4 linked regions of the Macaca fascicularis genome follow. The protein of the gene in region 2 interacts with the protein of the main gene of each other region in a biochemical or structural test. Links are inferred from orthologs where the notes say so. Each region holds a gene or a part of one and is shown on either strand. Other genes may lie near its edges.

Evidence for each region.
Region 1: the proteins of GTF2E1 (region 2) and GTF2F1 form a complex in vitro, tested with the Homo sapiens proteins (3 studies listed by BioGRID). The link is inferred for Macaca fascicularis from reciprocal best matches to the Homo sapiens genes GTF2E1 and GTF2F1.
Region 3: the proteins of GTF2E1 (region 2) and GTF2F2 form a complex in vitro, tested with the Homo sapiens proteins (2 studies listed by BioGRID). The link is inferred for Macaca fascicularis from reciprocal best matches to the Homo sapiens genes GTF2E1 and GTF2F2.
Region 4: the proteins of GTF2E1 (region 2) and ERCC3 form a complex in vitro, tested with the Homo sapiens proteins (2 studies listed by BioGRID). The link is inferred for Macaca fascicularis from reciprocal best matches to the Homo sapiens genes GTF2E1 and ERCC3.

The regions. Positions count from the first base shown.
Region 1 is NC_088393.1:7,164,473-7,171,952, reverse strand, and holds part of GTF2F1 (general transcription factor IIF subunit 1), read left to right. Parts: intron 1-2,353; coding exon 2,354-2,547; intron 2,548-4,733; coding exon 4,734-4,904; intron 4,905-7,480. UniProt on the Homo sapiens protein: TFIIF is a general transcription initiation factor that binds to RNA polymerase II and helps to recruit it to the initiation complex in collaboration with TFIIB. It promotes transcription elongation.
Region 2 is NC_088376.1:162,456,171-162,464,079, forward strand, and holds the start of GTF2E1 (general transcription factor IIE subunit 1), read right to left. Parts: upstream 5,302-7,909; 5' UTR 5,251-5,301; intron 91-5,250; 5' UTR 61-90; coding exon 1-60. Other genes in the region: RABL3 (rab-like protein 3), read left to right, coding at 5,531-5,576.
Region 3 is NC_088391.1:24,394,624-24,402,103, reverse strand, and holds part of GTF2F2 (general transcription factor IIF subunit 2), read right to left. Parts: intron 6,150-7,480; coding exon 6,131-6,149; intron 4,226-6,130; coding exon 4,081-4,225; intron 1-4,080. UniProt on the Homo sapiens protein: TFIIF is a general transcription initiation factor that binds to RNA polymerase II and helps to recruit it to the initiation complex in collaboration with TFIIB.
Region 4 is NC_088386.1:4,280,837-4,288,026, reverse strand, and holds the end of ERCC3 (general transcription and DNA repair factor IIH helicase/translocase subunit XPB), read right to left. Parts: intron 6,377-7,190; coding exon 6,258-6,376; intron 4,367-6,257; coding exon 4,214-4,366; intron 2,667-4,213; coding exon 2,535-2,666; 3' UTR 2,211-2,534; downstream 1-2,210. UniProt on the Homo sapiens protein: ATP-dependent 3'-5' DNA helicase/translocase. Binds dsDNA rather than ssDNA, unzipping it in a translocase rather than classical helicase activity. Component of the general transcription and DNA repair factor IIH (TFIIH) core complex.

The sequences.
Region 1 (7,480 bases), on a different chromosome or scaffold from region 2:
AGTGAGCTATGATTGCATCACTGCACTCCAGCCTGGATAATAGAGCAAGACCCTGTCTCAAAAAAAAAAAAAAAAAAAAAAAGTCCGGGTGCCGTGGCTCAAGCCTGTAATCCCAGCACTTTGGGAGGTCAAGGCGGGTGGATCACGAGGTCAGGAGATCAAGACCATCTTGGCTAACACGGTGAAACCCCGTCTTTACTAAAAAAAATACAAAAAAGTAGCCGGGCGAGGTGGCGGGCGCCTGTAGTCCCAGCTACTCGGGAGGCTGAGGCAGGAGAATGGCGTGAACCTGGGAGGCGGAGCTTGCAGTGAGCTGAGATCCGGCCACTGCACTCCAGCCTGGGGGACAGAGCGAGACTCCATCTCAAAAAAAAAAAAAAAAAAAAAAAAGAATGGCAAAGGCCCAGGTCAAGCTCCTGGGTGTCCCTGTAAGTTAGGTTTGGTAGGCCCACCGGAGGCCTCTCCTTAAAGGAGAACATTCAGAAGTTGTGCCCACCGATGGGCATTTTTGGCCAGGGTTTATCTGGGCAAGGGAGGGGACTGGGCTGGGGGCTTTCCCAGAGCCCCTGCCATCAGAGGCTCTAGAAAGGACTTTGGGAGCCATTAAAGTGTTTTCAACTGGGAGGTTGTAGTGTGATCTGGCTGTTGTGGGGAGACAGACTGTGGGTTTGAGGGCAGTTAAAGGGAGACGGGGTAGAAGCAACTGGTCTGGTCTAGGTGAGTCCTGGTGGGCATTGGGGGCAGTGGAGGTTATGAGATGTGGCTGATTCTAGAGTGTTTTGGAAATGGTATATATGGACCTTAAATCAAGAGCTTAAGGGTAATTTGGATCATATTAGCCACATAGGTCACGATAAATGGTAACATCTGTAGAGATTTTGGTGCCTTAATGTCAGTAAATGTTGCACAATGAGATTCTTTTTATTTATTTTATTTATTTATTTTTTGTGATGGAGTCTCTTGTTGTCCAGGCTGGAGTGCAATGGCACGACCTGGGCTCGCTGCAATCTCCACCTCCCAGGTTCAAGCCATTCTTCTGCCTCAGCCTCCCAAGTACAGGTGCCTGCCACCACGCCCAGCTAATGTTTGTCTTTTTATGAAGTTTCGCCATGTTGGTCAGGCTGGTCTTGATCTCCTGACCTCAAGTAATCCACCTGCCTCAGCCTCCCACCGTGCCCGGCCTTTTTATTTTTAAAAAATAGATATAGAGTCTCACTATGTTGCCCAGGCTGGTCTTTTCTTTTTCTTTTTTTTGAGACGGAGTCTCGCTCTGTCGCCCAGACTGGGGTGTAGTGGCCGGATTTCGGCTCACTGCAAGCTCCGCCTCCCGGGTTTACACCATTCTCCTGCCTCAGCCTCCTGAGTAGCTGGGACTACAGGCACCCGCCACCTTGTCCGGCTAGTTTTTTTGTATTTTTTTAGTAGAGACGGAGTTTCACCGTGTTAGCCAGGATGGTCTCGATCTCCTGACCTTGTGATCCGCCTGTCTCAGCTTCCCGAAGTGCTGGGATTACAGGCTTGAGCCACCGCGCCCGGCCTTTTTTTTTTTTTTTTTTTTTTTTGAGACAAAGTTTCACTCTTGTTGCCCAGGCTGGAGTGCAGTTGCGTGATCTCGGCTCACTGCAAGCTCCGCCTCCCGGGTTCCCGCCATTCTCCCGCCTCAGCCTCTGAGTAGCTGGGACTACAGGCACCCGCCACCTCGCCCGGCTAGTTTTTTGTATTTTTAGTAGAGACGGGGTTTCACCGGGTTAGCCAGGATGGTCTCGATCTCTTGACCTTGTGATCTGCCCGCCTCGGCCTCCCAAAGTGCTGGGATTACAGGCTTGAGCCACCGCGCCCGGCCGGTCTTAAACTCTTGAGCTCAAGCGATCCTTCTGCCTTGGCCTCCCAAAGTTCTGGGATTACAGGCGTGAGCTACCACACAATGAGTTTCGATACGCATGCATTCTGGAGATGCGTAGCCATTCTAGTTACTTATAAAGTTTTGGAAAAGAAGCCCGGAACCAGGTGCCTGCCGTACAGAATGGGGAAGTCTTCATTACTTCTACATTCCTCAGATAAGGAATGTTGCCTTCGAGGGCCTGCTCGATGGCCACCAGGTGCTCTTTTTCTGTTTAATTTTAATTTGGAAGTAATTTCAAGCTTTTAAGTTGCAAAAATAGAACACAAGGCTCGCTCAAATTCCCCTTACCCAGATTTATCAAAGGCTACCATTCTCCTCCCTTGTTGCCAAGTGGTAAGTTGGTTTTGAGCGTCTAGAGCTTGGCCTAGGGTGAGGAAGGGCATTCCTAGAGCGGGGCACCGCCCAAGCAAAGCCAGGGACCCTGAGAGGCTTTGCTTCCTGCTCCCCTAGGCTCGGCTGGAGCGGGACTTGAGCAACAAGAAAATCTACCAAGAGGAGGAGATGCCCGAATCGGGCGCAGGCAGTGAGTTCAACCGCAAGCTTCGGGAGGAGGCTCGGAGGAAGAAATATGGCATCGTCCTCAAGGAGTTCCGGCCCGAGGACCAGCCCTGGCTGCTCCGGGTCAACGGCAAATCTGGCAGGAAGTAAGTGGTGGGGCGGTGGCGGTGCCGGCTTAGCGACCAGTCCACATCCCCCCTCCACTTACAAACTTTGTGGGGTACCCTCTCTGAACCTCGGATTCCCACTGCTGCGATGGAGGTGCTGGCACTTCCATCCCTGTAGGGTTTTATTTTTTATTTATTTATGTTATCTTATTTTACTTATTTATTTTTTTGAGATGGAGTCTTGCTCTGTCGCCTAGGCTGGGGTGCAGTGGCATGATCCTGGCTCACTGCAACCTCCACCTCCCGGTTTCAAGCGATTCTGTTGCCTTAGCCTCCTGAGTAGCTGGGATTACAGGTGCCCACCACCACCAGGCCTGGCTAAGTTTTGTATTTTTAGTAGAGATGGGGTTTCACCATATTGGTCAGGCTGGTCTCGAACTCCTGACCTCGTGATCCTCCTGCCTCTGCCTCCCAAAGTGCTGGGATTACAGACGTGAGCCACCCACCCAGCCTACTTTATTTATTTATTTATTTATTTATTTATTTTGAGATGGAGTCTCACTCTGTCACCCAGGCTGGAGTGCAGTGGCTCGATCTTGGCTCACTGCAAGCTCCGCCTCCCAGGTTCATGCCATTCTCCTGCCTCAACCTCCCGAGTAGCTGGGACTACAGGCGCCTGCCAACACGCCCGACTAATTTTTTTGTATTTTCGGTAGAGATGGGATTTCACCGTGTCAGCCAGGATGGTCTCGATCTCCTGAGCTTGTGATCTGCCCGCCTCGGCCTCCCAAAGTGCTGGGATTACAGGCGTGAGCCACCGTGCCCGGCCACCCAGCCTACTTATTTATTTTGAGACAGGGTCTCACTCTGTCACCCAGGCTGGAGCGCAGTGGTGTGATCGTAGCTCACTGCAGGCCCCAACTCCTGGGCTCAAGAGATCTTCCCACCTCAGCCTCCTGAGTAGCTGGGACTACAGGCGTGCCCCACCATGCCTGGCTCATTTTTGTATTTTTGGTAGAGATGGGATCTTGCTGCATTGCTCAGGCTGGTCTTGAACTTCTGGGGTCAAGCGATCCTCCTAACTTGGCCTCCTAAAGTGCTGAGATTACAGGCGTGAGCCACCGCCCAGGCCCTGGGGTTGTATTTTTGAAGATAGTTCACTGAGTTGGTGCTTGTGCCTGGCTCTGAGGCAGCTCTGAGTACACAATGCAGGAAGCTTGGGTGGCCAGCGCTGGGGGCTCATGACACTTGAGATGACCTCTTAGAGGGGGCAGACTGAGGCCAGAACGGGAGGGGTCCAGGTTAGGTTGATCAAGGGTGCTCCAGGCACAGCAGTTGGGTGATAGTGAGAGACACAGGCAGCTCACACAGGGCAGTAGGTGCCAGGATGTGCTGGACCCAGTGGAGCCTTGGAAAGCTGTAGGCAGGGAAGGGGCGCTCACCCAGATTGCCTGGACCTTTAGGGTAGAAGAGAATGAAGTGGAGGCCTTAGGAGGCTGGGCAGTTGTTTAGGCTTGAGGGAATGGTGGCCTGGGCCAGGTGTCCACTTCAGATTTGGCCATGCCATGGCTGGGCATGGTGGCTCACGCCTGTAATCCCAGCCCTTTGGGAGGCCGAGGCGGGCAGATTACTTGAGATCAGGAGTTCAAAACTAGCCTGGCCAACATGGTGAAACCCCGTCTCTACTAAAACTGCAAAAATTAGCTGGGCGTGGTGGCGGACACCTGTAATCCCAGCTACTCGGGAGGCTGAGGCAGGAGAATCGCTTGAAGCCGGGAGGCGAAGGTTGCAGTGAGCTGAGATTGTGCCACTGCACTCCAGCCCGGGTGACAGAGCGAGACTCCATCTCAAAAAAAAAATATCTGGCCATGCCTTCCCGCCCCATCCTCTCACTTGGCTCCTCATTTTCCTGGGTATGGCCCACAAGTAGCAGAGCTGGAGGCAAATGTAGACGGTCTGACTGCAGGGTTGGGCTCTTCTGAGATAATCTCACACGGTCTTTCCAGAAATGATCCCAATGCGCACATGCCCAGCCCTTTGCAGTGTAGGTGTGCCGGCGCTGTTCCCCAGATGTGAGAATTGACGAGGCCCAGCTGGTTGAAGGCCTCATGGGCATTCCTTGGTCTTCCTCTTATGGCAAGTGCCATAAAGGAGGCAGGCCTGGGGGACACAGGCAGGTCTGGGCTGGTCCCTGTGGGCCAGGCCATGATCGTGGCTCCCTGCAGGTTCAAGGGCATCAAGAAGGGAGGCGTGACAGAGAACACGTCCTACTACATCTTCACCCAGTGCCCCGACGGGGCCTTCGAGGCCTTCCCCGTGCACAACTGGTACAATTTCACGCCACTGGCCCGGCACCGCACGCTCACTGCCGAGGAGGCCGAGGAGGAGTGGGAGAGGTGAGTGGACTGTGTGGCTGCTGGGGACAGAAGTGAGGGAAATGGGGTGCCTTGCTGTGGGTATATCACCAGGCCCTGTGCTGGGAGCTGGGGACTCAGGGGTAACCAGGGCAGACCCCACTCAGCCATCTCGGAGCTGTCAGTTCAGGGGGAAACAGATAGGAGGGGGTGACCTGGAGCTCAAATTGGCAGAGCAGAATGGGATCTAACTGTCCCCTTGGCTTCCACAGGCCGCAGGTCACACAGCCTGATCCACTGCAGGGCAACAGCTCCAGGCAGGGCATCCTGGGAGGGTTTCTCTAGCAGTGTCATTGGCCTCAGAGGTGAGGCGGGTACAGTTAAGGGCTGTGGAGAGAGACAGTGCATGAGGCCAGTGCAGAGTGACTGTGGGCAGGGGGACGAGGCTGGGGGCCCAGAGCACTTGGTCTTGGATGTTACGGCTTTGGATGAGACCTTAGGGCCACCACTGCCCTAGGGTGCTTGCAGATGGTGGGGAGGGCACTTTGGATGCATCTGCAAAATGGCATTTGCACAGGTCACAGATGAGCAGATGCTCAAAGAGTTGATGGCTCACAAAGGGTTAAAAAAACACCTTTTTCTCTCTTTGCTTTAGTGGGTTTTTTTTTTTTTTTTTTTTTTTTTTTTGAGACTGAGTTTCATTCTTGTTGCCCAGGCTGGAGTGCAGTGGTGCAACCTCAGCTTATTGCAACCTCTGCCTCCCGGGTTCATGCCATTCTCCTGCCTCAGCCTCCCGAGTAGCTGGGATTATAGTTGGCCACCACCACGCCCAGCTAATTTTGTAATTTTTTTTTTTTTTTTTTTTTTTTTGAGACGGAGTCTCGCTCTGTCACCCAGGCTGGAGTGCAGTAGCGCGATCTCAGCTCACTGCAAGCTCCACCTGCCGGGTTCAGCAAGCTCCACCTCCCAGGTTCACGCCATTCTCCTGCCTCAGCCTCCCGTGTAGCTGGGACTATAGGCGCCCGCCACCACACCTGGCTAATTTTTTGTATTTTTAGTAGAGACGGGGTTTCACCGTGTTAGCCAGGATGGTCTCCATCTCCTGACCTTGTGATCTGCCCACCTCGGCCTCCCAAAGTGCTGGGATTACAGGCGTGAGTCAGCGCGCCCAGCCTAATTTTGTATTTTTTTGTAGAGACAGGGTTTCCCCATGTTGGCCAGGTGGTCTCAAACTCCTGACCTGAGGTGATCTGCCCGCCTCGGCCTCCCGAAGTACTGGGATTACATCCATGAGCCAGTACTGGGATTACATCCATGAGGCACCACGCCCGGCCTGCTTTAGTTTTTAGTCATTTTCTTTGGTTTTAAAATTTCTGGAGTTGCAGGTTGGCTTAGCTCCAAAAGCAACCCCATAAATGGCACGCAGTCAGAGCATCCTCCTCTCCAGGTAATGAGCCTCCGAGCCTGTGGGGCAGTTTCTGTGCCCCTGGACCCTGGAACAGCATCCCCCAGTCTTCCTGCCTGCTCCACGTTGGTTGAGTTCCTGGGGCTCCATTGTAAAATCCATCGATCAGTTTTTGCTGGGAGGGCAGGTTCCCTTTTGCTGCATTTTCCTTAGAATCTGCTTTGAAAGTTTTAGGGAGAAGAATTTGGCATTTTATAGAATTGTGTAAAACCTGGATGTTAACCAAAGGAGAAATGCCATCTCTTTTTTGAGATGGAGTCTCGCTCTGTTGCCCAGGCTGGAGTGCAGTGGCGCGATCTCAGTTCATGGCAAGCTCCGCTTCCCAGGTTCACGCCATTCTCCTGCTTCAGCCTCCCGAGTAGCTGGGACTACAGGCACGCACCACTACGCCCGGCTAATTTTTTTGCATTTTTACTAGAGATGGGGTTTCATTGTGTAAGCCAGGCTGGTCTCGATCTCCTGACCTTGTGATCTGCCTCAGCCTCCCAAAGTGCTGGGATTACAGGCGTGAGCCACCGTGTCCGGCCTTTTTTTTATTTTTATTTTTTTGAGACAGAGTCTCACTCTGTCACCCAGGCTGGAGTGCAGTTGTGCCATCTCAGCTCCCTGGCTCACTGCAACCTCCACCTCCCGGGTTTAAGCAATTCTCCTGCCTTAGCCTCGCGAGTAGCTGGGACTACAAACGTGCGCCTCCACACCCGGTTAATTTTTGTACTTTTAGTAGAGAAGGGGTTTCACCGTGTTGCCCAGGCTGGTCTCGAACTCCTGGCCTCAAGTGATCTGCCCGCCTTGGCCTCCCAATATGCTGGGATTACAGGTGTGAGTCACGGTGCCCGGCCAGAATGCCATCTCTTGATCAGATGTTAAATCTACTTAGCTAAGAACTGTTCAGGCTGGGCACGTGGAGAGTGGATCACAAGGCCAGGAGTTCAAGACCATCCTGGCCAAGAGACCAGCCTGGCCAATTTGGTGAAACCCCATCTCTACTAAAAATACAGAAATTAGCCGGGCATGGTGGCGGGCACCTGTAATCTCAGCTACTGGGGAGGCTGAGGCAGGAGAATGACTTGAACCCGGGAGGCAGAGGTTGCAGTGAGCCGAGATCACACCACTGCACTCCAGCATGGGTGACAGATCAAGACTCCGACTCAAA
Region 2 (7,909 bases):
ATACTTGGCTAACCGCTTCAGTGCTGCTGGAACTTCAGTGAGGACATCTGGGTCTGCCATCTTTAGCAACGAACTCCAACTTTAAATATACTGAATTCAGAAAAAAATAGAAAATTAGCCAGGTATAAAAACATGGTAATCATATCCACCATTCTTGCAGTGCCAGAGAAGTACTCAAAGAGTTTTAAAACATTCCTAATATCTAAGCATTTAACAGAGCAGAACAAGATTTTCCTCTAGAGTGCACAAAAGATTACACACAAAAAGTTTTACATATTTCTTAAATAGCTACTTTTATGATCTAGAGTATGTTTGATTAAAAAGTAACTTTTTATAAAACAATATATTATGTCAAGTCTCCTTTACTTCAGAAGAGAAACACAAAAAAAGCTACATGAAATGCTCACTATTCTTTGGGAATGCTGGAAACCCTGAGAAAACTAGCAGTTAGCATTTCCTAAAAGTGTCTTTGTTTCTTTTCTTGAGTAAAATTTTTCTACCAAGATTCTAGGATGTTTTACATACTCATGCTTTCACAATAATATCACAACAAACCAATAAACACATAAGTAATCACCACCTGGGGTGTTTGACAAAATCATGAACTGGTGTAAAACTGAAAGAAAGTAATACTTAGATCCAGATAGTTTTACTAACCTTGAAAAATTAAATCTCATAATCAAGGAAAGACCATCCAGTCCTTAAAAAGGTAGAAAATGAGAGAGGGAGCGCAGCCCAAAATATTCTTAAATACTGAATCCCTTAACAAAGCAGAAACTAAGTGTATCTCATTTCCATACCATGACCCAGAAAGCTGTCTTCTCAAAGCCCATATTGGCATGTGGTTTAATTTAAAAACCTGGGCTTCTGAAGGTGGAGGTTGCGGTGAGCCAAGATTGCGCCACTGCACTCCAGCCTGGGCAACAACAGCGAAACTCAGTCTCAAAAAAAAAAAAAAAGAAAAAAAACCTGGGCTTTGAAATTCAGAGTACCAGCCTGTGTTTTGGTAACTATGTAATCCTGAGCAAATCCCTTAAACAATTTCAAGCCACATTTTACTCTCTAAGATATAAGGATAGTATCAACTACCTCAATGGAGTTGTTGTGATTAATAAGAATGTAATTAAAGTGCTTAGGAAGGACAGCTTCCATATCAACTTAATATGTTCCAAACTAAAAATGGCTAGACTATCCACATAGATTAAATCAAGTTAAATTTCCCTAGCCCACAGGGAATTTTTTTTTTTTTCTTTTAATAGAGACAGGTGCCCTGTTGCCCAGACTAGAGTTCAGTGGTGTGACTTGGCTCAATGCAGTCTCAACCTCCTGGGCTCAAGCAATCCTCCCACCTCAAACTCCCCGGTAGCTGAGACTACAGGTGGACACCACCATGACTGACTAATTTTTGTATTTTTTGTAGGGACAGGGTTTCACCATTTTGCCCAGGCTGGTCTCGAACTTCTGAGCTCAAGGGATCCACCCATGTTGGGGGCTTCCTAAAGTGCTGGGATTATAGATGTGAGCCACCACACCCAGCACAGAATTTTTTTTTTTTTTTTTTTTTTTGGAGACAGGGTCTCAGTCTGTCACCTAGGCTGGAGTGCAGTGGCGCGAGCTCAGCTCACTGCAACTTCTGCCTCACGGGTTCAAGCGATCCTCCTGCCTCAGCCTCCTGAGTTGTTGGGACTATAGGCGTGTACCACCACACCTGTCTAATTTTTGAATTTTTAGTAGAGACAGGGTTTCACCATCTTGGCCAGGCTCCACAGGATAATTTTTAACAGACATCCCACTGAAATATTTCATGGAGAATCATATTCTGTTATTAATACTAGTTTCAACTGACCTTTTTATTTGAAATCAATGGTTATCAACCGCAACAGATTTAATACTCTTTTAATAAGAAATGTTTTGATATCCATAGTATCATACTATAAGGAAACTCTACACACCAATCTATAACCAATCTATGCACATATTTTGGGGGGAAAATATAAGGCCCTTCGTGTAATAAAGGAAAAGGCAGTCAAAAGAAAACACGTACTTTAGGTTATAAATACTCAGGTATGACTATATATTATAAGATATAACAAAGTAGCACCTAGATCCAAATCTGTGAACCTAGAGCCTTTCCGCTACCCCAGGGCTTAAGGATGCCCGGCAAGTGCCTGGGCTAGACACCAAAGTAGTACCACAGCCATACTACTGGACACACTTTGCTCTCCTTCTCAGTTTGGTCTGTACATTGTACTTGAACCCAGTTTTGGTTTTTTGTTGTTTTACATCCTCAACAGTTGTCAGAACACAACATATGGCTTCTGAAACATTCAACAAAGAACAGCAAAAAAATGTCAACATAACCTGTTTCCAGGATTATTTCCTACTATTGTATTCTCCTTCCCTGCTCCATACATGCCATGTCCCAGACTAATAGTTCTCAAGCCTGGTTTTAAAGCAGAATCATCTAGGGAACGTTTCAAGAATACTGACCATGGGCCCCATTCCTAAAGGTTTTGTCTCAGGTGGTTCGGGGTGGCCAGATTTGGCATCACACAAATTTTTAAAGCTCTTTAGGTGGCTCTACTATACAGCGAAAGTACCTACTATATATCCTGCCAATGCTCATCCTGCATGGAGAGGTCCCTGTGCCACTAATCGCTCAGCCTGTTTCCTTTGCCTAAAACACCCTAGGGAGCTGTGAAGACTAAAGTCAGGGAGTGATGTGAAGACTTTACAATCCAACAGTTTTGGGGTTTAAATCCCAGTTCCAGTATTTCTTAGCCCCCCTGACCCCAGAAAATTCTCAGACTCAGTTTCCTTATATATAAAAAGTGATTAGGCCAGGTGCAGTGGCTAATACCTGTAATTGTAACACCTTGGGAGGCCGAGATGGGGGGACTGCTAGAGTCCAGAAGTTGAAGACCAGCCTAGGAAACACAGTAAGACCCCACCTCTATAAAAATTTTAAAACTTAGCCAGGTATGGTGCTGTGCACCTGTAGTACCAGCTGAGGTGGATCAACTGAGCCAGGAGGTCAAGGCTGCAATGAGCCATGATTGAGCCACTGCACTCTAGCCTAGGTGACAGGACATGACCCTCAAAAAAAAAAAAAAAAAAGTGATTAACGGTCCCCTGCTCACACAGTTAATGTATGAACTCAGTGAGATAATTAATGCAAAGTGTTCTGCTTTCAGGGCTGGCATGAGAGTTCAATTAAGTACTGGCATTCATAATAAATCCCCTATTTAGAAAAACGACTCTTATACCAATATGAAGAATGGACTCAAATGGGTGAAGGTGGAGGCAATGTGGAAGTACTGGGTGTATAAAATCAAACTACGGAAGAAGGCAAAAAATTGCAAGAAGAGAACAGAATGAATGAAAGTTATTACAGAAAAAAAAATAACAAGGACCCAACAAAATATATTGGATACAGAATATGAGAGTAGGAAAAATCTTAAATAGCTCTGTTTTGAGCCAGTGTAGCTAGGAAAAGTACTGCCATGAGAAATAGGTGACACTTGAAGAGGAGCAGATATGGAAGAAATGAGGAAATCATTTTTAGAAGTGTCTCTGAGGAAATACCATAGGATATTCCTCTGAATATGCCCAGCAGGTAGCTGAACAAATGAAACTAGAGCTTAGGAATGAAATGAAGCTGTGCCACCTTGTTCAAAATCTGTGCATTCTAAAATCCTCCTTCCTGACCACTAACTTCTCTCCTCCACCACTACCCACTCACACTGAATCTCCTTACTCAATCTCTAGAGGTCTTAGGTAAGAATTCTCAAACTGGCAGCCCCCCAACGCATTGTTTCACCCAAAGAAATGTTTCAAAAATTTTCTGAATTAGTTGTCAACATTTAAAAATTGTAAGAGTTCACATAAATTTCAACTTCCAGCTCCTCCTGAAAAATTGGAAATATCTGAGGAAAAAGTGAGCCCATGGTCCCACATGGAAACAATAAGCTGAAGACGAATAGCAGCTGGCATTATTAGGGAAGGAGTATGGCTGGTCTCTGGAGACTTCTGAGTGTGGTACCTCCTAGGACCTTTTGTTTCTTCCTTTGATCTTCATAGTCCATGAGTCATATCCCAGCCTCACCTCCCTACCCCAGTCCAGACACGTGTATTTTAATCATATAAACATTTAAGGACTATTGTGCACCAGGCACGGAGCTAGAGAAACAAAGTTGAAAAGAATGCACCCTCTGCCCTCTGTCTACTCTGTCAGCCTCATATCCAGCCACACTAGCATATTCTCAATTCCATAAGCCACATGTGCTTTCCGTGCTTACCAGAGCTTTGCACATGCTGTTCCTTCTGCCCCTACAACTAAGCCAACCCCCTTCTCCTAATCATCCTTCAAGTCTCAAATGACGTTTCCTCATAGAGGCCTTCCCAGACTCCCCATTAGGTAGCGTACAATCATCCCCTCTCACATGTTCCATGGCTCTTTCTCCCTTCTTGTACTTTCTCCATGTCTATCTCTAAGACCAGACTTCATTTTGTTCACCAATTAATTTCCAGTATCTAGCACAGCCAGACAAGTACTTCCATAAAACTTTCCATATGTGTCCTAGACACGTGTTGTTCCAACACGGCTCATTTTGCCAGCTTCCCCCCGCTTCACTTCCTCCACTCTTGCTTCCACGGTAGAATTGGACAGGCTATTGGGCACTCTCTTCTTAAATTTAAAACAGTTTTAAGCTGGAGGTGAGTGGATCAAATTCACGATGTTAAAAGTGTGCGCTGACTGCAGAATGGAGAAAAAAGCTGGATGCGAAGAGTCCAGTTAGATTACTTCAGTACACCACTACGCCAGTTCTAGAACAACCTGGGATTCTACACATCTAACTGCGGTGTTCTGGTACCACATTTCATGGCACTTTCCACGCCTTCACTGAACACATAGCGGCAAACTACTGCGAAACCTCCGGACCCAGCTGCCCTCCACGAGACGCGTTCGGTGATATGCACTCCTCCCCACTGCGAGACCCCGAGACCCCAAACTCCCTCGGACTCTCCCAGTTGGGTCTAGGGCCACACTCGGCGCACCCAAGCCCGCCCTACCCGAGGTCCCACACGGGCCGTTCCGGGGTCAATGGTTCTTTGGAGAACCAAGAGGACCAAGGCAAGAGGGTAATTCAATAGGGGAGGACAGTTAAGAGGGAGCGAAAGGAAGAAGAAATCATGAAATGCAATGCCCGGCCAGGGAACTCCGAACAAGGAACAGGGAACAAGGTTTACCAAAGCGAATCCTGGAACACTCCCACTACAGCTGCCCTCAGCTCTTCAACTACCGGCTTAAATGAGCCACGCCTCTTACGCGACAAAGAAAACGCACTATTCCTGAGACCAGCTGGGGAAACACCCCGCTACCAGACCAGCCAATCAGCTCAGTGAAGCCTTCGATTCAGACAGTCACGCTCCGAGCGGCCAATGAAATTGAAAGCTCTGCCCTCCATGCCCAACTCTGATTGGCTTACAATCCCGGAACAGGCGTTAACCCAAGGAAGGCAGTGGCAAGATGGCGTCCCTGGATCGGGTGAAGGTACTGGTGTTGGGAGACTCAGGTGAGCGTCTTACCCCACCTCTGGGGCTCCAGACACTTTTGAGTTACCCAGTAACCCTCCCCTTACCTTCCTTCCCTCAACTCCCTGGCTCTTCGGCCCGTGGCTGAAGTCCCTCCGAAGTCCTGAAGACTACACTTCCCAGGGGACTTTGCTCCGTGTGACGACGCGGCGGCGGCGGCGTCGCGCGGGTGGGGGTCGCGGAGCCCGGGTCTTTTTCCTTCGCGGCTTTCCACATCAGTCTCCCAGAAGACTGCAGCCTAGAGTGTATTGTCAGTTATTTTATTTGGAAAAAAAAAAAAAAAAGGCAGGCATTGAGTATTGTATGGAGTTCTGTGTTAAGGGTACAGAAGTTAGTAGGACCGTGCCTTCAAGAGATTTTGTTCATTAAGGAAGTCAAACGTGCACTGACAAACGTGAACTGGCAAGCGCTTCTCATACATTAACTCATTTAATTCTGAGATTAGTCCTATGATCACATTTTACGGATGAGAGTAGTGAGGCAGAGAGATGTGAGTGGCAGAATCCTTTTGAACGCAGAGTCCACAAACTTAAACGCTAAGTTATAAATACGCAGTGACATATTGGGTGGTGGTCCTGTTTTATTCTTAACTGAGCTTCTTGACTTCCTGGTTCTCGTTTGATCTTCATTGAAAACCTATTATGTCCTAGACTGTACGATAGAGAAATTAAAGTAAGAGTTTTATTCTGAAGCAGCTAGGATTTAACGCTGAGCCGAATTTAATCCTAGTGTTAAAATTCTTTTTTTTTTTTTTTTATCTCAATGGATGCAAAGAAAAATTATTTTGACCCCTGGGACATTTGAGAACTACAGCTGACTTCTGGATTTCCAGCTCCCACCTCACTGCCCTTATCTTTTCTTCCATAATCCCCAGTTCATCTCTCCTTAGTAACTTCAATAAATGCTGAACTTGCATTTTATAGATGTGCTCTTCTGGAGTTGGCCTAAGAGCGTGTGTTGTGAGCAGAGACATTGTGCTAGATGCTTGGAGGTGGAGAGGCTTGAAAACTAGCTTAACAGAAACTAAATAAAATTGTGGCCGGCAAAGATAGGTTAAGACTGTTTTCACATTGCCCTGAGTATTATTTGCATTACGAAATATTTTACAGAAAGCATTATTTAATATTCCCCTAAGAAAGTTGCCTTTTGAAACTCAATGGACATAATCACAATTTATGTCGACTTCATTTCTATCAGGTAGCTTGAAGTGGTGCCAAAGTTAATTTAATAAAATCACTCAGTTTTACAGATAAAGAAAGTAATGGTGGCCTAAAGGGACTTAGCAAGAGTATCACTGAGTAGAATTTAGAATCCAGAACTAACAGACTTCTTCACGATATGTTAAGTGAGTGTTTTCTGTCCTCTATAATTCCATTTTCTGTTGTATGTAACAATCCCTTCATATTGCAAACTGCTGCAACTAGTCAATTTATTTTCTTTCCAGCAGGCACTGTATTAGGTTCTGGGGTTATAACTGTGGAATTAATGCATCATATAACAGGGGTAGAATTAGCTGCTACATTAAATGTGGAAAAGTAATCAGGCAATTGATAAGCTTCCCTACCCCCACCCCCCCACCCTTATGGTTTAGTTGTGAAGCAGAAGACACAGCTGTGATGGCCAGGAAAGTGATTGATATTGTCACACATTCACTAATGTTAACCTTTATGTGCAGATGTTATCACACATTCACTAATGTTAACCTTTATGTGCAAAGTTAGTTATTGTCTTTTTATCTTTTTAAAAGGCAATTTTGTCAGTCTCCTTTTAACTGTCATTTAATAGTACACAGTCTGACAGGTTAGAATACACTTTTTACACTTCCTCTGCCTTTGTTTCAAACCTGAAAGTTTATTTTTAAATAAAGACCATTTCCCTCATAAAATTTTGAGGGTTTCACAAATATATAAAGAAATGACTTAGCCAGACAAGGTGGCCCTTGCCTATAATCCCAGCACTTGGGGAGTTTGAGTCGAGTGGATTGCTTGAGCTTAGTTCAAGACCAGCCTGGGCAACATGGCAAGACCCTCTCTAAACCAAAAACAATACAGAAAGTTAGCCAGGCGTGGTGGTGCACGCCTGTAGTCCCAGCTACTCAGGAGGCTGAGGTGAGAAAATCAGTTGAGCCCGGAAATTTGAGGCTGCAGTGAGCTAGGATCGTGCCACTACGCTCTAGTCTGGATAATAGAGTGAGACCCTATCTCAAAGATAAAAATAAAAAGAAGAAAGAAATGAGTTGATATTTGGAGATTTGTTTTCTATCCTATTGAGATATTTGGTAATTTGGTGAAGAACCCTGAAAGTCTCACTACCA
Region 3 (7,480 bases), on a different chromosome or scaffold from region 2:
CTCCATTGGAGCACTTGTATTCACATACCAGTTGCCTCAGTGCACAGGAGGCTAATCTTATTCTAGCACAGGGCTTAGCACCAAAAATATCTATTGAACAGATGAATGAACATTTTTGTCTAGAATTGGCAGTTATAAATAATAATATCTAAGAGCCAGACATGGTGGTGCACGCCTGTAGTCCCAGCTACTCAGGAGGCTGAGGTGGGAGGATCACTTGGGCCCAGAAGTTCAGCCTGGGCAACAGAGTGAGACACCGCCTCTAAAAAAAAAACAAGAAAATCTAACTTTGAATAAAAGTAGGAATGCCAAGGAGGATGCCAAAGGCAGAAAAAATAGAAATTATCTATAGTTATCAATAAATAGTAGATGAAAATACTAAACTGAAGACCCAAGGCGGGGAAATGCAAGGCCAAACACATGAGGTATTTCCACAGAGATAAGGGTAATGGATAAGAGAGCTCCATGAAAATAACAGAGAAATATTAATAGATCATTTCGACTTTCATAGAGGAAAGCAGAAGTGGAAGAAGGGGTAACCCAAAATAGCCTATAAAAATAAAATATATTCTTTCAGACAGGAACACTGAATTAGAAATACATTAATTGAGTTCATAAAATGTTGATGACACGCAGATTATTTTAATTGAAGAGAAAATACTGTATAACTTATCATTAGTCCCCTCTAATTCCCTCTCCCTAGAAGACCCAAATGTGCCAAATTCTATCATTAGGAAAATAGGCTCAAAGGAGGCCTCTCAAAAACTAGCAAAATCACATTAACAGGAATAAAGTTATTAAAACTAAAACTCCTAACATAGTGAACTAAAATGTGATTTCAAGCTTCCTTACAAACTCTACATTTTATAGACCTGTGCACTAATAAAAAGAAATGAAGAGCCTAGAAAAGCAAGTATGGTTCTATGCTTGATAGAAAATGTAGAAATATTCCAGATAATGCCTACCTCATTTATATTTCAATGTAAAATCAACAGCTTACTCCCTATAAAATGGCTTAGTCACTTATACTTTGGCAGGTTCATGACCAACTAAGGTTAAAACTAGGATAGTGGTTCTGTAGCTTTTCTGAGCCACAGATTCCTCTGAGATGCCAGTGAAAGCGCTGGAACCATCCTATAGAAAAGAATGCACATATACAACATACATCTAACATTTTAAATACGTCGCAGCAGTCACAGAGCCCATTGTACTATTTATGACTTCCAAGAGATACAAGGAACCCACTTGTATAACTGCTGCTTTAATGACTAGAAACAGCAAATACATAAGACTCCTCAGAGGAGATAAACTACTCACAATTCTAGAGCTTTTTTCTTGGTCATGCAGGCAATTGAGAAACATTTAATATAAAAATCCCTACTGGCTGAATTTTATCAAGTGATACACATCCAGATTGAGCTAAAATGCATGCACTTGCCTTAAACTTGAAACCTAAAGTGTTTAAAAACAAGGTGTAATATTAACAACAGCAGCTAATATTTGAGCATCCATTATATACTGAGCATTGTTCTAAGTGTTTAAATGTATTCATATTTTTATATGTCAACAAATTATCCTCATTTCATAAATGAGAAAATTAAGGCACAGAAAGGTGCAAAGAGAATCAAGGAACAATGACTTGAAACAGAAATAATGAGGTTAAGAAGTAAAATATTGTTACAGTGTATTATAACTAATAGCAACTTAGAACTGCATTTGTATTATCACAGTTGTGCAAAGCAAGAACATACCGTCCAAGCCCCAGAATAAGGATGACAATCTTAATTCTTTTCCATATCCCTGCCAAGATAATCCTCATAAAACCACGTTCCCTTCAGAGTACACTGTAGCCAGAAATGTGAACATGAAATGTTCAAAAAGAGCACAACACTAAAGTATTTTTAAAATGTAAAATGGAAGACTAATTTTGAGGCTAACAAATGTTAGCTTTCTAAATCACTGTCTTTGTAGAAGCACCAGAAATAAATCATGTTTTCAAAAAATTAGTCACTTAATAAGATGTAAAAAATCTGTAATAGGGTACTTTTTTCTACAAAAAAAAGTTCAAGTTTCCCTACCTCAAACTTTTATCAAGGCGATGTCTCCTTTTTACTATCTTGGTGCCATGCCTCTTCCACTCTAGGACAATCACAAAAGTAGAGAAAACCTCACAGGTTCAATGGATCTTATTAAATCTCATCAATCAAAAGGAATAGAGTTGTTGAAACTAAAACTCCTTAACTCTTTTTTTTTTTTTTTGAGATTGAGTCTCCCTCCATCACCCAGGTTGGAGTACGGTGGTGCAATCTCGGCTCACTTCTACTTCCACCTCCTGGGTTCAAGCGATTCTCCTGCCTCAGCTTCCTGAGTAGCTGGGATTACAGGCACCCGCCACCACGCCTGGCCAATTTTTTATTTAATAGAGACAGGGTTTCACCATGTTGGCCCAGCTGGTCTCGGACTCCCGGCCTTAGGTGATCTGCCCACTTCGGCCTCCTGAAGTGCTGGGATTACAGGCACGAGCCACCGCGCCCCGCCAAAACTAAAACTCTTTAACATACTGAATTCAAATGCGCTTTTAATTTCAGACAAATTTCAGATTTTTTGATAGGTCTATACTATGCCCTGAACTATGCAGCATGCAATAAATATTTGTTGAAAGGTTGAATCTTCTCCAGTATAAAATGGATGTATTGAAGAAACTGTTACTTTTCTGCCTCCCATACTACTAAACTATTAATTATTAGAGCATCAGAAAACTGCAGTGAAACCAATCTTCTACCTTCAACTACATAACTGAAGAATTATAATTTACCATTTTGTTATACTGTACATCCAAGAAAAAAAGAATAATTTTTAGATCATTTTATGTAGCTATTGGTAATCGAAGACACCACAAAAAAATTTATGAGGATGTACCTTTTTTTAACCAATGGTGTTCTTAACATACTATAATTTCTTACAGCTTCCTTTGAAATGTTTGATGAAATACAACAAAATCACAAATGTTTTCTTTTATCAATAAGCTTTTTGAACCAGATAGCAGAAAATTAGCTCCATTAAACTAAGGTGGCCTGTTGCTTTAATAGTATTCTAAACTCAGTGAAAGATAAAAATCCCAAAACATGGAAAATATACTCATGCTGAGTGTGTGCCACAAGAAAGTTCCTTCTGTATTTAATTCACAAATGGAAACATTTGCTTCTGATTTATTGAACTGTTAAAATATCTCATTGCAAACACATACAATCTTAAAACTCTACACAGAAACTTCTTAGAAGCCAATATCAATTAAAAGTTATCTCTGTGCAATAAAAAGGTCCCCTTGGTATACAAAGCATACAAGATGAAAAATTCAGACTAAAATATTCCCTAATATCGAGCTGTATTTTTAAAGTACAACTTATACTTGCTAAATATCAATTTACTAAAACAAGCAACGATGACCTTATCTTGGCAAAATTCAGAATACTGTTTCTTCAACATCTGAGAAGGCAGCTTGATGAACCACATTCTTCCATCTGCTTTGTTCTATATCTTCATATCCCAAATAGAAATTAAACCCTTCTCAAGTAATGGCCAAAATTTCATTAATCACAAGAAAGTACACAGAGCAGAGAAGTAGCATAGTATGAATAACAGAGGTACACAAAATGAGAGGTGGAACAGTCTTGGTAATGACCTTAAAAAAGCAAACAGGAGGCCGGGTGCGGTGGCCCACGCCTGTAATCCCAGCACTTTGGGAGGCAGAGGCAGGCGGATCACCTGAGGTCAGGAGTTTGAGACCAGCCTGACCAACATGGAGAAACCTCGTCTCTACCAAAAATACAAAATTAGTCGGGCATGGTGGTGCATGCCTGCAATCCCAGCTACTCGGGGGGCCGAGGCAGGAGAATCGCTTGAACCTGGGAGGTGGAGGTTGCAGTGAGCTGAGATTGTGCCACTGCACTCCAGCCTGGGCAACGAGAGCGAAACGCCATCGCAAAAAAAAAAAAAAAAAGCAAACAGGAGTGTATGTTGAGACAGAAAATCTATACAACAAGTACAGGAATCACATTAAATAATTCCATTCCCACTTACCTGATGAGCTCTCAGTAAACACTGTTAATGTCTGTCCTCCAACACTTTGCAAGACAAATGGGTGTTCTCTAGGAGCACTGACTGAAGCCGGTTTTCCACCAATATCATGAATATTTGCAAGGTCCTCATTCAAAGTAAATGACACCTAATAGACACATTAACCAGAGATTATAACAGACTTTTGTATTCAAACTACATATAAAAAAATTTTAGTTATAAATCAAATTGTTTTTAAATGTGTTTTCCAGTCATTTCATTAAACACTTTAACTTTATTAAAAACTCCTTAATACTTGCTCACAAAAAGAGAATGTAAACTGGACACACTGGTGCACACCTATAATCCCCGCTACTTGGGAGGCTGAGGTAAGAAGATTCCTTGGGCCAGGAGTTCCAGGCTGTAGTTCACTATGAAAAGCCATTGCACTCCAACCTTGGCAACACAGCAAAACCCTGTCTCTTAAAAAAATCAAAAGAGAGAAAGACAATCTATTCCCGTTTGTCAGAATAATGGGGCTAATAAAAAAATAACAAAATCACATCCTTTGCAGCAATGATGCAGCTGGAAGCCATTATCCTATGTGAATTAGTGCAGAAACAGAAAGCCAAATACCACATGTTCTCACTTACAAGTGGGAGCTAAACATTGGGTAGACATGGACCTAAAGATGGGAACAATAGACATTAGGGACTCCAAAAAGAGAGAAGAGACCAAGAGTTAAAAAACTACCTATTGGTTACCATGTTCACTATCTGGGTGACAGGATAAATATCAGCCCAAATCTCAGCATCATGCAATATACCTATGTAACAAACCTACACATGTACCCCCGAAATAAAATAAAAATTACTACAACTAGTAAGAAAATAAAAAACAAAAACAAAAAGAACAATGGGGCTAATCTACCATCATAAAAAAAAGACAGTTTTCATGTTTTCTCTAGTCTGTGGCTGAAGAACTCTTTCCAAAACAGGGGTAAGATTATTTTTTCCAGCTGGGCGCAGTGGTGCTGGTGATCCCAGCACCCTGAGAGGCCGAGGCAGGCGGATCACTTGAGGTCAGGAGATTGAAACCAGCCTGGCCAACATGGCAAAACCCTGTCTCTACTAAAAATACAAAAATTAGCCAGGCATGACAGAATGAGACTCCATCTCAAAAAAAAAAAAAAAAAATCATCTTTTTTCTTTTTTCCTAAAAATCTCTGAGGTCTGAGGTCAAGGGATCATGTCTTACTATATTTTATATCCTTAAGATCTAGCAGAGTGCCTGGCTTATAGAAGAAAATAATATTGCTGAATAAGCGAATATTTTAAGAATATTAAGAAAGCAATTGTACTTAAGATGTGGGGGTGTGAACTATTTACTCCGAAAAGCTTAAACACTCCCATAAACAGAGGATGTATTTATTTCGTAGGTCTTAATGACAACCATATGAGTACATGGTATTATTTTTCAATGTTTTGACAAATACAACTCAACAGTTACAAGGACAGCTCAATAATAAGGTTTAGAATAAAAAGACATACTAGGTGTTCTTTCAAAATGCTTTGTATCAGATATCAGATCTTCCCAAAAGAACTTCACATTTTACACTAAACAGACTTATAAACAAAATTACTCATCTCCCAAGCATGTAGGAAGATCATAAAGTATTTATTAAATATCTCTCTACTATGTGATAAGTACTGTAAATCACAAACTGTACTCAATGGGTCAGAATCTAAAGTCCTCAAAAACTCCGTATCAAATGCCTTTGTCGCACTGAAGTAATACTAATGTATTAGTACAGTATTACAGAAGTTTTACTCAGTTTCATGGTACCAAAAGACGGGAAATGTAGGTCAAAGAAGAAAAATGCTGAGAATGAACAACTAGAAAAGAGTCCATTCATTCACACAAGGGTGGCATTTATACCTTTATGTATTCCTAACCATCAGTCATGCACTTGATGTGGCATTTTCTAAAATTCAAACACTCTTTCTTCACTATTATTAATGAAAAGTAAGATAGTCTCAAGTTTTAACTAAAATTTCCATATAAATAATCTTACCTCAGTCCTTCCTTGATTCCTAAAGGAGAGGAAAAGAAATATTTTAAATTATTTAGATGTCATGTTGTTTTCAAATGTGAGTTAAGAGCTTAAAAAAAAAAAAACTTCATATTTACATAAAATATTACATTACAGAGATTAACCAATATTTACCCTTGACTCCCCACAACTGTCCTATTTACAATCTTATGGGAAAAACAAACTCACATTAATCACACATCACTATTTTGTATATTATGAGTTTATGTCACTTAACTCTATTATAACCTCTGCTAGTTCTATTTTGTCCAAATAATGATCTTATTACAATTCTTTCTTTTTTCTTTTTTAGATTTTTTTTTTGTTTTTGAGACAGGGTCTCCTTCTTTTTTTTTTTTTTTTTCTTTTTGTTTTTGAGACAGGGTCTCCCTCTATCAACCACAGAGCCCCAATCATGACTCACGGCAGTCTTGACCTCCTAGGCTCAACCGATCCTCCCACGTCAGCCTCCCACGTAGCTGGGTCTACAGGTGCATGCCATCACACCCAGCTAACTTCTGCCTTTTCTTTTGTAAAGACAAGGTCTCACCGTGTTGTCCAGGCTGGTCTTGAACTCCTGGTCCCAAACAATCCACCTGCCTCAGCCTCCCAAAGTGCTGGGATTACAGGTGTGGGACACTGCACTCAGCCTTATTACAATTTTTATCTTTATTTCTGAGCATTTTTGGCATTCAGCAGCATGTTAATACATATATAATACCAGATCTACATAGTACTTCATCAAATTTTACTATTCATTTTATCTAGCTGAAGAGGTTTCATTTACCTAACAAAATCTTAAAGATCAAGTTATTAAATGTAATAATTTAAATTATGAGCAATTTTTCTCTATTATAAAACAATATATGCCCATTATATAAATATTTTTAATACAGACAAGCAAAAAATAAGTTTTAAAATAGCCACAATTCCATTGTTAACTTCCTGGTACAGTATCTTTCCACACTATTTTCTATATACTGTACTTGAATTATGTTTTTAAATTTTAATTTTTTTACAAAGCAAAATCAATGCACATCCTATATTAGAACTTAATTTTTTCAAAAACATGTATTAAATACCTCCTACATGCAAAGTACTGAGTTAGCCCTGTCCCAGCCAGCAGAAGGTATAAAAGGTGTATCCATAAACTATACAGTGAGATAAATTTTAATGTTCAATTAAGGGAGCCGCAATGCACCAGGATCATACAGCAAGAAGCCATTTCTTCCATTTGAAGAATTAAGGAATGGTCCAACAAAGAGGGAACTCTGAGCTGAGCCTTAAAGCATACTAAGATTGCAATAACTTCGAGTGGGGAAATACAGTATC
Region 4 (7,190 bases), on a different chromosome or scaffold from region 2:
CACAGAACAGACAATGTCAAGAAAAATAAGAAGAAAAAATCTGGACTTGGTAAAGGGAGACTATTTGAAAGGATGGTTGCAAAGTGGTGGGGAGGGGCGTACTACTGCAGCAGGGAGAATGCACTGAACATAAGATCTGTTTGTCTCAGGGTTAGGCAAAGGGGTTTTCTTTTATAGGGAGGGAAAGTAAGTAAAAGAAGTGGGATGAAGGAGAGTGGCATGGTGGGACAGTAGATCCAATCAGTGACTTACCCTGAGTCCAGTCTATTCTCTCCAGGGGTGGAAGGGAGGGTGAGCCAAAGTTCAGGGGTCCGGGGGTAGAAGAGAATCTAAACCAAAGTCTGGTTCACAAGCATTTTGTTCCCACTGATCACTGGGGACAAGCAGTTTAGCTAATTTATGAGGCAAAGAATGGGAATTTGGAAGGCCTGTGTCTGGCCTCGACTGGGGTCTTCAAGGGCAGCATTCATGAGTCATACTGGGAAGGATGGTTCTCTGCAGTAAACTATTTTCCAGAACACCAAGGACAAGGGACTCCTTTAAATGTGTCTGTTTCCTAGGACCACAGGGTTCAGGTAAAATTCAACATTGTCAATAGAGAAGAAAACGGGGGCCAGAAATGTGAAAATACAGGAAGTGCTCAGTATTGAGGATCTCAAGTGTAAAGGTATGACAGGAGGCGAGACTGAAAAGAGTAATGGTTACAGCCAAGTTTGAACATTTGAGTGCCAACCCATCAGGGTTACATGACAGGCGAGTCTGTGGGCTCAAGCGTGCACCTCAGACGGGGCTGCTCAGGCCCTCTCCTCCTAGTGAGGGCCCTGGTACTGGTTCCTGGGGTTTGCCCTGATAAGAGTGGCTAGATGCCTGGCAGCACCAGCTGCTGACTAGACTATGAGAGTGTTTGTCACCAAAAGGTCAGCTCAGAGAGGCAGAATGTGGGGCGGGTGGCTCTTGCTTCAAAGCCCCCTGATGAAAGAGGTATTAGGTTGGTGCAAAGGTAATTCTGTTTCTGCCATTAAAAGTAATGGTGGCCGGATGCAGTGGCTCACGCCTGTAATCCCAGCATTTTGGGAGTCCGAGGCAGGCGGATCACAAGGTCAGGAGTTTGAGACCAGCCTGGCCAATATGGTGAAATGCTGTCTCTACTAAAAACACAAAAAGTTAGCCGGGTATGGTGGCGGGTGCCTGTGGTCCCAGCTGCTTGCGAGGCTGAGGCAGGAGAATTGCTTGAACCTGGGAGGCAGAGGTTGCAGTGAGCTGAAATCGCACCACTGCACTCCAGCCTCGGCAACAAAGCGAGACTCTGTCTCAAAAAAAAAAAAAAAAAGTAATGGCAAAAGCCGCAGTTACCTTTGCACCAACCTAATACTTTCTTCTCCTCAGACAGTCTGTGGCTGCATCACAGACAGCAGCCCAGCTGTGCTGGAGCTGAGTACAGGAAGCTGCTGCCGAGCTGTGGGGATGGGCAGGGACTCCACTCGGAAGCCTTATGTAGCCAGGGTTTCAACACTCCCTCCCCAAGTGTGAGCGCTGATTCCTGTTCGAGGGAGTGAGCCTCCTCCTCAGAATCACAAGTCTTTCTGCAAGGCAGATATGCCTCATGGGTGTCTACCTTTCAAGGAGCAATCCTGCCTGGACTGTCTTTTCCTCAACACCTTTGCTTTCATACCAGAAACAGAAGACAAAAGCCCAAAGCCATTAAAAACAAAGTAGCAATTAAAACACCCAAGGGCACTAAACTGCTATTAGAAGAGGAATCTAGCCCCTCAGCAATATCTAAAAACGTACTTTGAGGGAGAAACAAGAAGTCACTCTTTCAGAGAAGATGAGCCACCAGGAGCCAATCTGGAAGGCCTTCATGATGTAGGTGTCTACCTTGGACAAGGTTGCAGGAACAGCTGTAACGACCACAACAGCAGGAAGCTGTGCGGTTGCAGCCCCAGTCTGAATCCACCAGGCTAAGCTGTGCACAGGGACCACAGTCAACTGCCCAGGCTCTTTCCTCCAGCTGGATCACCCTCCCCGTTCCCCAGGTATTTCCTGCTGACGCTTCTTCTATCTCAAGGTACATCTCCCTGGTAGCTCCCTGGGGAGGGGCTCCATCTTACTCATCTGTGCTGGCTACAAAGTAGGGGCCTTGATGGAGGCTGGTCATCCAGACATAACCCATGCCCAGGACGAAGCATAAAAATACTTGTACAATGAAGAGTGGTTCAATGGTCCATTCTGTTTATTCAGAACAGTAAGATAAATACACCTTAAATATTAAAATTTTTTATATACAGAAATGACCCCACTCCCCAAAAAGTTTGAAAAAATATTGTCTCCTCCTAGATGATAAAGGCAAGAGGAGACAATAAACCCTAGATGACCCATGAAGGCAGAGCCAAGCCCTTGAGGCAGTTTCCTCAGCATAGTTTGGCCAACGCTGGAGGGAAGGTCAAGGAGGTCGAAGGAAAACGTTACGCTGAAAATCCCTTTCCAACGAGGGTGCCAAGCGCCGGTCTTGAACGAAGTACCCCGCCTCAGCATCATTTCCTGAAGCGCTTGAAGAGAGGGTGCACATGTTTGCTGGGCGCCTTGCTCCGTGATGAGTGGTACTCCATGTACACAGTGTCGTCGGCCCCGGACATAGAGCTCATGGTGCCAAAGCGCCGAGATGCCTGCCGGGAACAGCCCATGTTAGTCTCCAGGAGAAAAGACACTCCTTTTATAATATTTATGATCACAGCAAATTTTATAAGACGTACATAAATTTAATACATCATTTTAAATAATGTTTACAGATCGCTTACTGTGTCTCAAGGCATTGTTCTAAGCATTTGACATGCATTATCTCCTCTAATCCTCAAAACTATTATAATCCACACCTTAAAGAAGAGGAAACTGAGACACAGAGAGATTAAGTAACCTCGCCAAGATCACACCGCTCTTAAGGAGATGGGGCTTGAACCCAGGTAGCCGGGCTTCAGACTGTTCTTAACCATAAGGCACACTGCCTCACTTAACAACAGCTTCTAAACAATTTTTTTTTTTTAAGAGAGAAACAGGGTCTCCATATGTTGACCATGTTGGTCTCAAACTCCTGGACTCAACTGATCCTCCCGCCTCGGCCTCCCAAAGTGCTGGGATTACAGACATGAGCCACTATACCTGTTCTGAACAGAATTTTTTAACAGTTAGGGCAGAAGTCCCTTAAAATCTCCTGAGACACCACCATGAGGCTTTGAATCAAGTGGAAGGACAGAAAGCTCTGGGCTTGACTCTTGGCTGCACCTGTCCCTGAGTAACCCTGGGGCAAGGAATTAGTGTCTGCACCTCACCTCAATGACCTCACCTGTAAAATGGGGATAACCATATCCATCCTGACATTTCTATCCTGTGAGGAGAAAGAACCAGGCACCTCCTCACAACCAGTGAGAGCAGTGAGAGCACGCTCCTGGGTTCCCATGGAGAGAGCTCCCTAGTCGGGGAGAAAAGCCTTAGGCTCAAGGGAGGACGGCCCCTCCGCAGGGACAGCTGCTTCCTCGGTCCAGCAGTTGCTCACCTTCCGGCTCTAATGGCAACTGAATTTCAAACGCACCTGACTGAAGTGCGCTTCTCCCCTTGGAGCCTGATAATTCTCCATAATGCTCTCACTAATTAGACCATATATTTGCTTGTTCTACAGCAGGCAAATTTGTAGAATAAATGAAAGGTTGAGTATTTTCACAGAACTCTACATTTTTCAAAGTTAAGTATTGAAGCTACCACAAGAGTTGACCTCAGAGCTGTCTTAGGGGCTAGAGGGCTCAGCTTTACCACTGAGGAGGACCCAGAGGAGAACTGTGTGCCCACGACCAGGAATGGCAGCCCTGGGTGGGGAACTACATGCCCTGGCCTATCACGCTCCCTCCAGTCGCCACCAAGGTGAGCTGGGGTCACCTGCTTGCCATCCTGGGCTTCAACATCAAGATCTAACGAATACTCGTGTGAGTAAAGCAGGAGACGAGTCACAGCCACTGCGAGGTCAGCTGTATGCAACAGGACCAGGGGCACACACCAAAAGGGCAACAGGGGTTGTTTCTATTCATCTCTTCCGTGTTTTCCATTTCCAAAGAAATCCCATGGGCCCATCCAGGGGCCCACAGACTACATGTCTGTGTCTGTGTCTACAAACGCTGCCCTGTGGGAGCACTGACACCTGGACCTTCCTTACCCATTTACTCACCTGGCTGGATCTGGAGCCAAACTCCCCAGCCACCACCTCCTCCTCGGCATCCAGGTCAGTGGCTGCCAGGACCTTCTGTAAGAGCTGTTGCTGCTCTTCTTTTGTCGAAAATGCCAAGTCTTCCTCCTCCATGCCAGCAAGCTTCGTGATCACCTGCAAAGCCCAAGCCAGCAGACATGCTCCCTTCTGCTCTCTCTCCCCAACCCTCCTCTGCCTTCTCCTGGGTCCACCTGCTCTGTTCACTTCCCTCCCCAGGCCCAGCCACCGTGGTGGCCAACAATGGAGAGCTTCTCCCTAGAATTCCAGAGACCAGCATCAGGAGCCGCTTTTAACACGGAGCTTGACTAATGATCTCAAGACCAGAGGGACATAGGAATTTCAGAGAAATGTGCCCCCAACACATAGCATCTAAATGATCACGTATGGAAGATGAACAGGAAGAGTCTTAGTGAGTGTAAAAGGCTCCTTCGGGCAGCCTTCACATCTTGGAGCAGGCAAAGGAGGAACGGACAAGAGACTGGAAGGCACATGCTGTGGCCCTTTAAGAAGGTCCCTGGCATCTGCTGTGCCCAGCAACTGGGGCTTCAGCAGGAATGAGCACATGAAAATGAAAACGATAGGATATCAGGAAGATATTGACAGGACTTCTCTGAAACAGTAAGAACAGCACGGTGGAGACTGGGTTTCATTTCTCTGGGGATAACTTACTACAAGGGCTCCCTATCCCCGCAGAAAACTGGGTTGATTCTGTAAAGGGAACTCTCCTTCCCTCCAATTCTCATAACGTTAATTAAAGGAAAATTCCTAGAAGTAAGGATCTGAGTCCTTCTGGGCAGGGATCCAGAGTATAGACGATGTGCACGTCTGCCCAGGGCCCAACCCCTCCAGGTCATGACTCGGGGAACTCCAACGACTGCTCCTCAACAGGCAGCACCGAAGACACAGCTCCAACCAACACAAACTACTAAGGTACGGTATTGTGCCTTTTTGTCGAGGTCACCTTTCAAAGAATTCAGAGTAGCTCCTTCTGACTTGGTGCTCCTCTGACCCTCACAGCTCGGCAGGAATCAGGAGGTAGGAATGCTATTACCAGCAGGGATTTTCAGGGATGGATAAAACGGTCACAATGCAAATCCTCCAAAAAACTGGGCTCAAAACCCGAGCATCTTGTCCTTTAGGCCAGCATGAGGTCTGAAAAGTGTCCCTGCCTCTAGCTAAAAGAGGGGAGGCGAGACAACCCCGTCCTCCTAAGGCCAATAATGGGAATTCTCACCAACGCATAAAGAGACACATTAAAAATGTATCTAAAAGGCAGCCTGGATTGCAGTCTTTTGCAATCAAGAACCTGGGAGTCTGATGTTCTAGGGATGTCCTTTTAGTGGACCATAGGGGTAATTTAATTCCCCTACTTCTAGAACCCTCCATCTATCCCCAAAATATAAAGCCCTTCTGGACACCAAATACTGACATAAAAATAATATTTGTGTAACAGGAAAGAAAGCAAATGCCTCAGCCAATGAAAGTCAGCCAAAGCTTTAGAATTTCCCAATTATTAAAATACCTGATTCGTAGTACAGGGATGGCTCTGGTGTCTGGGAGGCAAACTGAGGCACACTAAGGCCTGGAGCTTACCAGCTGATGAAAGGAAGGGCTCTCCTAGCTACCTGGATTGGCATCCCTGAGAAAGCAACCCTGCGGGGCTCAGACTCACACAGTGCTGGCCATAGTGCCGTGGCTCAGACTCACACAGTGCTGGCCATAGTGCCGTGGCTCAGACTCACACAGTGCTGGCCATAGTGCCGTGGCTCAGACTCACACAGTGCTGGCCATAGTGCCGTGGCACCTCAGTCCTGCCAGGACGGCACGCTTCCCGCCAACAGCTGCCCTCAGTGATTCGTGCAGAGATAAACGGAGTTTGAGGCAAGGCCTCTAATCCCCGAATGCTTGGTGCCTGCCTGCTGACAGTGGTCCTCACTTCTCCTGGAGGCCAGGGTACCAAGAAGGCCTTGGTCCTAGTCTAACCAGAGGCCAAATGGATATGTACCTTGAAGCTATAACCTTGATCTACCAAGAATCTCTGCCGCTTGGTTGAGTAAGCCATTTCCTGTGTGTCCTGGGATACCAGTGAGTAGAAGAAGGCATTGTACTCCTCTGCAACCATCCCTGTGGGAAAAAATGAGAAAAGGAAAGAAAGAAGACAACATTAGCCATTAGAATGCCAAGAGCTCAGGGTCCCAGGTTCAAAAGCAAGCACTGCAGTGGAAAAGCCCCGCACTTGGGGTTACCACCTGAACTTGGCATGGGATTGCATCAAAATTTAGAAGTCTTTTATGCTTCCAAGGACACCATCAAGAAAGTGAAAAAACAATCCACAGAACAAAAAAATATGTGGAAAGCATGTATCTGATAAGGGATTTGTATCTAGGTTATATAGAAAGCTATTGAAACTCAACAAAACAAATTAATTATAAAATGGGCAAAGAATATGAACAGATTATTTCTCCAAAAACAATATAACAATAGCCAATAAGCACAGGAAAAGGTGCTCCACACCATCAATCACCACGGAAATGCAACTCAAAACCAAAACGAGATTATCACCTCACCCCTACGAGGGTGGCTAGAATCAAAAAAGCAGATAACGGCCACTGTTGTCAAGGATGTGGAAAAACTAGGACCCTCATGCATTGCTGCCGAGAACGCAAATGATGCAGCTGCTTTGGAAAACAGTCTGGCAGTTCATCAAAATGTTAAACACAATGTTATAACCACGTGACCTGGCAATTCCACTTCCAGGCATAAATCCAAGAGAAATGAAACTAGATCCACACAAACATTTGTACATGAATTTCACAGCAGAATTCTTCTAAGAGCCAAAAAGTGGAAACAGTGCAAAAGTCCATCAACAGATGTGTGGATAAATAAAATGTGGTATGTCCATGGAATCGAATATTATTTAGCAATAAAAAAGAATGAA